3 linked regions of the Macaca fascicularis genome follow. The protein of the gene in region 2 interacts with the protein of the main gene of each other region in a pairwise test. Links are inferred from orthologs where the notes say so. Each region holds a gene or a part of one and is shown on either strand. Other genes may lie near its edges.

Evidence for each region.
Region 1: the proteins of ZNF24 (region 2) and YJU2B interact in binary tests that used the Homo sapiens proteins (3 or more experiments, as listed by UniProt). The two-hybrid records come from large-scale screens. The link is inferred for Macaca fascicularis from reciprocal best matches to the Homo sapiens genes ZNF24 and YJU2B.
Region 3: the proteins of ZNF24 (region 2) and MID2 interact in binary tests that used the Homo sapiens proteins (3 or more experiments, as listed by UniProt). The two-hybrid records come from large-scale screens. The link is inferred for Macaca fascicularis from reciprocal best matches to the Homo sapiens genes ZNF24 and MID2.

What each region holds. Positions count from the first base shown.
Region 1 is NC_088393.1:14,163,038-14,166,787, reverse strand, and holds the start of YJU2B (probable splicing factor YJU2B), read right to left. Parts: upstream 2,695-3,750; 5' UTR 2,645-2,694; intron 1-2,644. UniProt on the Homo sapiens protein: May be involved in mRNA splicing.
Region 2 is NC_088392.1:54,501,144-54,504,893, reverse strand, and holds the start of ZNF24 (zinc finger protein 24), read right to left. Parts: upstream 2,650-3,750; 5' UTR 2,553-2,649; exon of another isoform or gene 1,948-2,552; intron 661-1,947; exon of another isoform or gene 1-660. UniProt on the Homo sapiens protein: Transcription factor required for myelination of differentiated oligodendrocytes. Required for the conversion of oligodendrocytes from the premyelinating to the myelinating state.
Region 3 is NC_088395.1:114,409,242-114,412,891, reverse strand, and holds part of MID2 (probable E3 ubiquitin-protein ligase MID2), read right to left. Parts: intron 2,041-3,650; coding exon 1,325-2,040; intron 1-1,324. UniProt on the Homo sapiens protein: E3 ubiquitin ligase that plays a role in microtubule stabilization. Mediates the 'Lys-48'-linked polyubiquitination of LRRK2 to drive its localization to microtubules and its proteasomal degradation in neurons.

The sequences.
Region 1 (3,750 bases), on a different chromosome or scaffold from region 2:
AGTGCTGGGATCACAGGCGCAAGCCATTGCACCCAGCCCCTTGTCACAGGTCTTGACCTACATATCATATCCATCAAAGACCTCATCCGGCCAAGTGTGGTGCCTCACACCTGTAATCCCAGCGGTTTGGGAGACTGAGGCAGGTGGATCCTCTGAGGTCAGGAGTTCAAGACCAGCCTGGCCAACATAGTGAAACCGCATCTCTACTAAAAATACAAAATTTAGCCAGGCATGGTAGCAGATGCCTGTAATCCCAGCTACTTGGGAAGCTGAGGCAGGAGAATGGCTTGAACCGGGAGGCGGAGGTTGCAGTGATCCAAGATGGCGCCACTGCACCCCAGCTACAAAGTGAGACTGTGTCTCAAAACAAAACAAAAAACAAAAAATGACCTCATCCGACCACCGAATCCATAGTCACTTGTTCCTGGAATTCTGATCACATCACCCTGTGTCTCCCCGGGCAGGTCACACTGTGCCATATCCCCAACACCTAGGACAGTGCCAGGCCGAGATAAATGTCAACTGGGTAAAAGACTGAGATAACTGAATGAGGCTCCATAAGGGTCACCATCAGTGCAGGTGACACAAGTGGAAATACAGGGGCTCCTCGAACTAGAGGTGGTGAGACCCCCTCCCATGTTTGGAAGGGAAGCTTTTAGGTCATATAGAAGGAATTTCTTCACGCCTGTAATCCCAGCACTTTGGGAGGCCAAGGCAAGCGGATCATGAGGTCAGGAGATCGAGACAATCCTGGCTAACACGGTGAAACCCAGTATCTACTAAAAAATACAAAAAATTAGCTGGGCGTGGTGGTGGGCACCTGTAGTCTCAGCTACTCGGGAGGCTGAGGCAGGCAGGAGAATGGCGTGAACCTGGGAGGCGGAGCTTGCAGTGAGCAGAGATTGCGCCACCGCACTCCAGCCTGGGCGACAGAGCGAGACTCGTCTCAAAAAAAAAAAAAAAAAAAAAAAAGAAGGAAGTTCTAGTTTACACTAAAGAGAGACTCTGCGAGGCAGTGAAGCTTATTCTAGAACAGAGATTGGCAAAGTTTCTCTGTCGAGGGCCAGAGAGTAAATATTTCTGGCTTTTTAGGCCAGATTATCTTTGCCCCAACAACTCAGTTCTGCCTTCATAGCTAGAAATCAGCACCAAACAATATATAAATGAACGGGCGTAGCTGCATGCCAATATAAATTTTATTGATGGACACAGAAATTTGAATTTCACATAATCGTCATCTATCACAAAGCATTATTATTCTGATTTTTCCCCAACCACTAAAAACTTTAAAACCATTCTTGGGGGCCAGATGCGGTGGCTCACACCTGTAATCCCAGCACTTTGGGAGGCTGAGGCAGGTGGATCACTTGAGGTCAGGAGTTCGAGGCTAGCCTGGCCAACATGGTGAAACCCCATCTCTACCAAAAATACAAAAATTGGCCAGGCCTGGTGGTGCACGCCTGTAATCTGTAATCCCAGCTACTGGAGAGGCTAAGGCAGGAGAATAGCTTGAACTCGGGAGCCAGAGGTTGCAGTGAACCAAGATGGTGCCACTGCACTCCAGCCAAGGTGACAAGAGTGAGATTCTGTCTCAAAAAAAAAAAAAAAGAAAGAAGCTGATGGAAGAGCTTCTGATGGAGTGGGGGTGGTGTAGTGAGGTGGTGAGGCCATGGTGCAAAGTCCCGGACATAAACTGTTCCACCTTCACCTTAGTCTTGGATGCTGCAACTATAAAGTGTGCCCCTTAGATTGGATTATTCCAAGGTCCGTTCCAACCTAAAAATACTTTTGCCAACCAAATAGCTAAGTGCCCCTTGAGGTGTTAGGGGTCACGGTTCCCTGGGCTTGAATCCCAGCTCCACTCCTCATCAGCTGGGTGACCTTGGTCAGTGTCTGCGGTTCCCTGGGCTTGTATTTCGTCACCGGTAAAGGGCGAATGATGACGAAAAGACTGACTTTCTGGGGATGCTGTGAATCAACTAACACACGGGAAGAGCCTGCAAAGAGCAGATACTCCGTTTACAGGAGCTTGAGGGTGTGTGTGTGTGTGTGTCTTACGATGGTTTTGTTGACCCGGTAAATGGCAGACGGGGCTATCGGGTGGGCGTGTAGATATCTCCGGTCCTTGCTGCAAAAGTAATTACCGACCCTGTTTGTCCTGGGCGTAAAGTTTGGGCTGGGAGCTCCATCCTGCTGCTTCCTATTTGCTTGATTTGAGGCAAATTGTTTTCTAAGCCTCATTTTCCTTACGTGTAAAATGGTTAAAGCATTTAGGGCAGCGCCTGACTCCCGAGTTCAGTGCTGGCAGTTTAGTCATTTCTCCTGCTCACGGTTTTACAAGAATCATTTTTATAAAATCTGGTGAGGTAGGGACTTATTGGTCCCATTTTCCCGATGCAAAAACCCAGGGCCCTTCAGGCATAATATGGATCCGGGCTAGGAAGGGGCCGGGTCCCAGGCACTTGGGTCAGGGGTCTCAGGGACTTTGGTCCTGGGTGGGAGTTGGGCCGGCTCCAGGCATCCAGATCGGGTCCTCAGCCCCGCGTCCCCCGACGCAGATGGGCGCGTCGGGCGGCTCCGAGGCCCGGGTGAGACGGCTGCCGGACCCCCGGCCCTCCCCGCTCCTCCGCCCGCGGGGACTTACCTGCCCTCCTCCCGACGTCACGCCACGACCGTGCCCGGAAGTGCGCGCTTAGAGCGCAGTGAAGCTGGGCGCCCTCTCCGCACCACCCGGACGCTGGCGTGAGGCGGGGCGAGGCAACAGCGCCGCACTGACTGGCTGAATGCCGATTCGCCGCGCGCTCTGCGACGCCGAAGTGGGCCAATCCGGGCATGCCCCGCCCAACCGCGATGCTCCATCCTCTGTCCAGAAGCCCAATCCGAGGCCCGGCTCCTGGCACCGCCCTCCGAGGAGTGCTGTCCTGCGCGCTGCAGCCAGTCTGCGAGGGTGAGCAAACTGCAGTACGCGGGTCGAAGCACACTATGCCCGTGTTTTTGAACGGCTAGTGAGCTAAGAATTACTTTTCCAGTTTATTTTTTATTTTTGAGACCGAGTCTCTCTCTGTCGCCCAGGCTGGAATGCGGTGGCGCAATCATAGCTCACTGCAGCCTCGAACTCCTGGGTTCAAGCGATCCTCCCACCTCAGTCTCCCAAGTATCTGGGACTACAGGCGCAAGCCACCGCGCCCCGCTGATTTTTTTTTTTTTGTTTTTTTGTTTTTTGTTTTTGAGACGGAGTCTCGCTCTGTCGCCCAGGCTGGAGTGCAGTGGCCGGATCTCAGCTCACTGCAAGCTCCGCCTCCCGGGTTTACACCATTCTCCTGCCTCAGCCTCCCGAGTAGCTGGGATTACAGGCGCCCGCCACCTCGCCCGGCTAGTTTTTTGTATTTTTTTTAGTAGAGACGGGGTTTCACCGGGTTAGCCAGGATGGTCTCGATCTCCTGACCTCGTGATCCACCCGTCTCGGCCTCCCCAAGTGCTGGGATTACAGGCTTGAGCCACGGCGCCCGGCCGATTTCTAAAATTATTTGCGGCCAAGCATGGTGGCTCACGCCTCTGATCCCAGCACTGAGAGGCCGAGGCAGGCAGATCACTTGAGGTCAGGAGTTGAAGACCAGCCTGGCCAAAACGGTGAAACCCTGTCTCTACTAAAAAAAAGACGAAAATTACCGGCTGTGGTGGCAGGCGCCTGTAATCCCAGCTACTCGGGAGGCTGAGGCAAGAGAATCGCTTGAACCCGGGAGGCAGAGG
Region 2 (3,750 bases):
TACTTCACGCTACAATAGCAGAGTTGAGTAGTTTCAACAGACTAGATGGCCTAAAAAAAACCCAACACAGTCATGCACTACAAAATGATGTTTGGAGGCCGGGCGCGGTGGCTCAAGCCTGTAATCCCAGCACTTTGAGAGGCCGAGACGGGCGGATCACAAGGTCAGGAGATCGAGGCCATCCTGGCTAACACGGTGAAACTCCGTCTTTACTAAAAAATACAAAAAACTAGCCGGGCGAGGTGGCGGGCCCCTGTAGTCCCAGCTACTTGGGAGGCTGAGGCAGGAGAATGGCGGGAACCCGGGAGGCGGAGCTTGCAGTGAGCTGAGATCCGGCCACAGCACTCCAGCCTGGGCGACAGAGTGAGACTCAGTCTCAAAAAAAAAAAAAAACAAACAAAAAAATGATGTTTGGGTCAATGAAGGACCGGTCAATGAAGGACCACATAGATGACAGTGCTCTCATAAGATTATAATGGAGCTGAACAATTCAAGATTCACCTAGTGACACTGTAGCTGTTGTAAGGTTAATGCATTATTCACATGTTTGTGGTGATGGTGGTGTAAACAAACCTGTTGTGTTGCCAGTTTAACACATACAGTTATGTATGGTACATAAAACTTGATAACAACAATAAACGACTATGTTACTTGTTTATGTATTTACTATACTTTTCATACTATACATTTTAGAGTGTGCTCCTTCTACTTATTAAAAAAAAAGTTAACTGCAAAATGGCCTCAGGCAGGTCCTTCAGGAGCTATTATAGAAGGCACTGTTATCACAGAGATGACAGCTCCATGCACGTTACTGCTACTGAAAACCTTCCAGTGGGACAAGATAGGGAGGCAGAAGGCAATGATATTGATAATCCAGACCCTGTGTAAGCCTAAGCTAATGCATGTGTTTGTCTTAGTTTTTAACAAAAAAAGTTCCAAAAGGAAAAAAAAATAAAAACTGGCTAGGTGCAGTGGTTCACATCTGTAATCCCAGCACTATAGGAGGCTGAGGCAGGAGGATCACTAAAGACCAGGAGTTCAAGGCTCCACTGAGCTATGATCGCACCACTGCATTCCAGCCTGGGCAACAGAGTGAGACCCTGTCTCTAAAAAATGAATTTAAAAATAGCAAAAAGCTGGGCCTGGCGCAGTGGCTCACACCTGTAATCCCAGCACTTTGGGAGGCTGAGGCGGACGGATCACGAGGTCAAGAGATCGAGACTATCCTGGCCAACATAGTGAAACCCTGTTTCAACCAAAACGAAGGTTTGCTTTATTATTATGTGCTTAAAAAAATTTTACCACTTAAAAAATAAGGTATTTAAGAACTCCTTGGACTTAAAATATATGTGGAAAAAATGTTCACTTGCTGAGTAACAGATCACATAATATTGAAAAGATCATATGTGAAAAACAGATCACATATTTTGAAAAATTATCTTGCACATAATACGTAAATATTCAGTCTTCCACCACACCATACGTACATTTATATTTATAATGATAGGCATTAATCACAGAAAATTCTATTAAGAAAAGGCACTCGCATTAGCACCTTAACTTCTTGCAGTGGTCCAGTGTCTTGTCCTTACACTGGATGACTCACAGTTTCCCCAGTTCTACCTTCAGGGAAACTGTATGCTGTTTCTGGACCTTTATTATTTGCACTATCATGCCCGTGCTGTTGTTTACGACACATACTAGCAATGAGCCATGCAGCCTATGAACAACAACTTAAAAAAACTTATCGTAACCCAAGCAAGATGAAGACTGGAATCAGAAAAGGCCTTATCAGACAAGTAATACATACTGGTTTAATTAAATACCCTGGAGTGTGGTGGCCTTATAAATAAGGTCTAGCCAACATTGATTTGTGCCTATTCCAAGACCCTGCTTATCAACGGTGCAACTATTTCTACATATATTTCTCTTCCTTTCATGCTGTAGAGCATACTGCTTGTGGGAAATGGAGGGAAGGCCAACGGTCCCGACAATGTTTGGTCAGAGCACCTCGTTCCAGGTGATCGCCCACCTTACTGCTGCATAGACCTGCTGTGTACCCCGATCCCGGCCAGTCCTCTAGCCCCTCTTCCCAGCACTCAGGACAGCGGATTTCACATGACCAAAGACCACCCTGTGACAACAGCGTCGGAACCACGGCACTTCCGCCTGCGGCCGGTGGGACTACAAATCCCAACAGCCCCGCGCAAGTCTCGCCCCATACCACCTCCTCCCAACACGACTCCCAGAACCCTCCGCGAGACGCCAGGGCCTCGAAATAGAACAAAACCGGCCGGTGGGGGAGGGGGAAGGTGAGGGTCTCGGAGGACACCGGGGGTTAGAGAGCACTCTGCAGACGCCGAAGACCCAAGCAAGCCTGCCGCCTACCTCTCCCCGCCCCACAACTGCTAGGCGCGGAGAGCGCGGCCTATTCCCCGCGCCTCCCGGGAAGCTGAGGAAGGTCCCGGGAAGGCTTCCCCGCCGACTCCTGCTAAGAGGTCCGCAGACCCTAGCCCGGTGTCCCCCTCCCTCCCATAACGTTCCCCGCACACCGGCGCAAACCTCTGGCTCAGGAACCGCAGCAGCTTCGCTGTCCACGGCAGACGCAGAAACACCGTTCACAAGCCTTTTCCCAGAAGCCCCCGGCACGGGCTGCTTCCGGTCTGCGGGCCTGAGGAGGCGGGGAGAGGTAAAGCCCACGTTGCCATGGAGAAGCTCCCCGGGCGGGGGAGGGGCGGCCCCACGACAATGACCGCATTGAGGCTGCGCTTGGCCTCGCGCCTCGAACAGCCTAGCGTCCTCTGGACCGTTTAAAAGAAAAGTAGAGGACTCTACCATTAAGATAGTCCTTACAGTTTCGCAAGCCCTTTCACGTGCATTATCTTGTGGATCCTCTAAGTAATTCCCTGCAAGAAGGAATAAAAGCGAGTATTTGTGAAAGCTTACTACATTGTGCCAGGCGCTCTCGTCGTGCTTTACATGTCATTTATTTTTTCACAAATAAATGATGTAGGAACTTTCATTATCCCCATTTCACAGCTGAGATAGTTGAGGCACAAATACAGTAAGTAACTTGACAAGAGCTCACAACTCATTTGTGGGTAGCAAGATTTGAAACCAAGACGTGATTCAAATCTTTGGCTCCCACTAGTTATGTCACGGAGCTTTATTCTGACCTATTTGTCAGGAAAACTAGATGAGACAGGTTAAGGGTTTTGGCAACGATGTCACGGTGAATTTGTAGAATGCATGGTCATCTTCAAGCTGGGCATTTTATACCATAAAACAGCTGCTGACGCAATCATTTATTACAAATCAGACCACTTCACTCCCCTATTTAAAGCCCTCCAATTTATGCCATAATAATTTATGACATAAAAACTCCTTATAATGTCTTGTAAGTCCCCCATGGTCTGTTGCCTGCCCGCACCCCCAGACCCTGGCGCCCCCAGTCACCTCAGCTCTTCAGCTCCGTGTGGCCCAAGATCCTCAGCCTCACCGCCAGCCTTTCATGACACATGACCCTTCATGGCACTATTATTAATGGAAGTGATCTCATTTATTTACTTGTTTTTTGTTTTGTTTTGCCTTTAAGTCCCTTAAGGGCAGGGACCTTGACTGTCTTGTTCACCACAGCATCCCAGCCTAGACCCCGGAAGCTGACTGCCTGGTAAATAGAGAACACAATAAATGTTTGTTGAATAAATAAATGAATTGTGGGATGGTTACATCGCTGCCTTTAGTTAGGTC
Region 3 (3,650 bases), on a different chromosome or scaffold from region 2:
ACATTTATACGTATCAGATATAAATAATAACCAAAAGAGGCACAAACCATAGTCACTGTGACTACTCTCAATATTATTCGCAGCACATTACAGGTCAAATATATCCTATTCTGAGTACTGCTACTCTCACCAACATTATACTTTTTACAGAAGTTACAGTAATTCATCCACAGTATGGCAGGAGGAAAATTTCCATTTCCTTCTTACCCTCCTTTTATCCTATCTGGATCTTTCTTCTAGCTTGGCTTATGTACTCAGGTTCTATTTGGAGTGGTAATTTTACTATCCGTTTAAACATTTTATTTTTCTAGAATATCTTCTAAGTAGCTCCCTTCTTAAGAGAAATTATACCACATAGCAGACAAGCAATGGTAGTAAAACAATTTGCTGGATCATCAGTGTAAGGTAGGAGGGCTTTTTTAAATGGGCACTTAGACTTGTACATAAATATTATATGACACAACAACTTCAGAAAACCCTGTCCACTGAACACACATAAATGACTAGGAACTTGTAAGGCAGGAACTATAAACAAGTGCTTCAGTTTGTAGCCCATAATAGTGACCACTGTCACAAAATTTGATAGTGGATTAAATATTTATTGCCTTCAGTTTAAATTGTTAGTTCAGACATTTAATTATCCCTCCCGATTTCGTGGTGTACTGAAATTTCTTCAGTTCTTTGTTTTGTTTTGTTTTGTTTTTAAAGACAGGCTTAGAATTAGCCCTGTGTTAAACACTTAATGGCAATTTGTAATGGCCAATGCCAAACTTCTGTTTCTTTAGTGCATTGAGTACACAAACACAAACATACGCTAATGTCCTCCACAAAAATCTCTCACCTACCTAGATACACTCAGACACCTCCACCCACCCACACCTACATAGAGACACACCCTGCCTTCCCATTACCATATACCCACATATGCAAATTGGCACGTATGCTAATTGTAGTACACCTACACAAGTACTCACATACTTAAAAGAAGAGGTGGAAAGATCACAGCAAAGATATATAATAAGCAATAATGTCACTGACAGAGGAGAGAGGGTGCTGTTTCCCTGGATGAACTACTGGTGTTGCAGGCCATGAGCTGACTCCCCAAAAGTTAGCCAGAAGTGTATGAATGCAAGCATGTTTATGCAACAGATGAGATAGGCTCCAGGGAGAGCTTGCAGGTGAGCAGGTTACTCCTCATGAAAACAACTTAAAGTTAATTCACTAGTCATATAGGAAAAGTCACCCATTTTATTAGAGAACTTGCTAACTGCATAACTCTATTATGAGACAAAGTTGTGTAAGAGATGTTCCCCAGATCCCTTACCTTAAGTTTCTCAAATCGATCATTCAGGGATGCGACCTGATGGTCTCGGTGACGACCCACCAGTTTGCATAAGGCACAGATCAATTGGTCATCAGATACACAGTACATGTTCACTTTCTCATTCTCGTGGTCCAGGCAGGTGATCCCTCGAAGATGTGTGTCTGGCACTGGTTCCACCAGGCGATGGCTGGTGAAAGGTTTCTTGTTCGGGTGCGTGGCCCGCAGGCAACGGTCACAGTAGGAGACCTCACAGGTGATGCATGTTTTTACTGCATCCCTTGGCGGGTCCTGCTCACAGAATTGGCAAGCAATTCGCTCACTAGACATGGCGGTGCTGGGCCTGTAAGTCCTTTCCCGGCGGCTCTCACTAGGGGAATTGGGCCCACTGACTGAAGCCTTCTGGAAGCGATCAATAATGTTCTGCAGAGTCACATTCCTCTTGAGGCCATCCAGGCCCCGGTGGTTCAGCGAGATAACATACCTGCAGGTAGGACACTGGAAAGCAGTAATGGGTTCAATGGATTCACCAGAGCTGCAGCTTGAGACCAAAATGCGATGGGCACAGCTGAAGCAGAGGCTATGAGCACAAGGGAGCAGAAGTGGGTCTTCAAACAACTCTAGGCAGATTGGACAGGTCAATTCAGACTCCAGTGTTTCCATCTTTAGTGAAAATAATCCTCCTGAGGCATTAAGAACCACGGAGGCTGGGCTTTCACCTGCAAGGAATACAAAGCAAGAGTCATTAAGCATTTCCAAAGGAAAATGGATATAACATAATTATACACTAACCAATGGGCGTGTTTACGTGCTGGATTCCCCAGGGATGCTTAAGCAATAGAAAAGCAATTTGGGAATTAATCAGGAAGACTTTCCCCCCCTTCAAACCTTGTTTTAGACAAATGCCTATGTTTATTTTCATGCACAAAGAGATAAAACCAAATGGCTACCTCTGAATCCTGATAGACAGATTAACATTACCATTCCAGCTTACAATATTTGAATGGATCATTCTCTCACATATTCTCCACTGACATTTCTTTTCCCAGACTAAGATGAGGCTGAGACCCTGCAAAATTCCCAATCTCTATTCTCCAGTATTGTTCTCTATTTCACTTTAAGGTAAACTGTAGGGCTGCTTCTATGTGACATCCAGTGTAAGGAAAACAATGCCATATTTTAAAGTAACTCTGTACTTCCTGAAATGATTCCATTCTGAGAGTCTGCATAAAAAAGAGAAAGCTTTAGAAAAATGTAGCTCTTGGTGCAGGATAATAAATTTTTCCTCAGAGTGTGAACTTAAATTACTTCTTATTATCACACATGGAAATTTCTGTTCCATCCCATTCCTAGTAAACTGAGTTAGTTGAGACAAAAGATGATAGTTTTCACTTTCATCTTCTTCCCTCACCTTCAGAAACCCCTTCATTTCATCAAACTGAATGGGGAATGATTTCAAACTTTTCAACTTACTCAGTAATCATTGCTGATCAATAATAAAGTCATATTGCCTTGTGGCTTCAATTTGGTTTTATTACTAAACACCTGCTGAACTAGCACAAGCCTGCTATGAAGATCACCTCCCATTTGTCTTTTCATACTTTCTAAAACATAACGGGATGCAAATCAATATCTAGATAGAAATTAGCAAAGTGCCAGAAATTTTCAGATCTGGTAACCTTCAATTAAGTGAGCATCACTGAGTAAAAGAGGTCACCTGGCCGGGAACGGTGGCTCACGCCTGTAATCCCAGCACTTTGAGAGCCTAAGGTGGGTGGATTCTGAGGTCAGGAGGTCCAGACCATCTTGGCCAATATGGTGAAACCCCGTCTCTACTAAAATTACAAAAATTAGCTGGGCATGGTGGCGCTTGTCTGTAGTCCCAGCTACTCGGGAGGCTGAGGCAGAAGAATCGCTTGAACCCGGGAGGCGGAGGTTACAGTGAGCTGAGATCATGCCACTGCACTCTAGCCTGGGTGACAGAGCAAGACTGCATCAGAAAAAAAAAAAAAAAAAAAAAAAAAAAAAAAAAAAAGCCACCCAACTGACAAGAAACCAACCTCTTGGTAAATCTATCTATTTTTCCACAGGAATTTCTGTGCTCAACACACAGGTACCTAATTCTTAATTGCCTTGAGTCTTCCATTAATTAAAATACACACATAAATATTCTAAGTTGGCTTTAACTAAGGAAAAATATAAAACATATCTTATTGACTGAAAATGTTAATCCTATGTATAGGAAAGAAAAAGGGCTTTGTTGTTGTTGTTGTTGTTTTTAGACAAAATGTCCCTCTGTCATTCAGAGTGGAGTGCAGTGGTACAATCT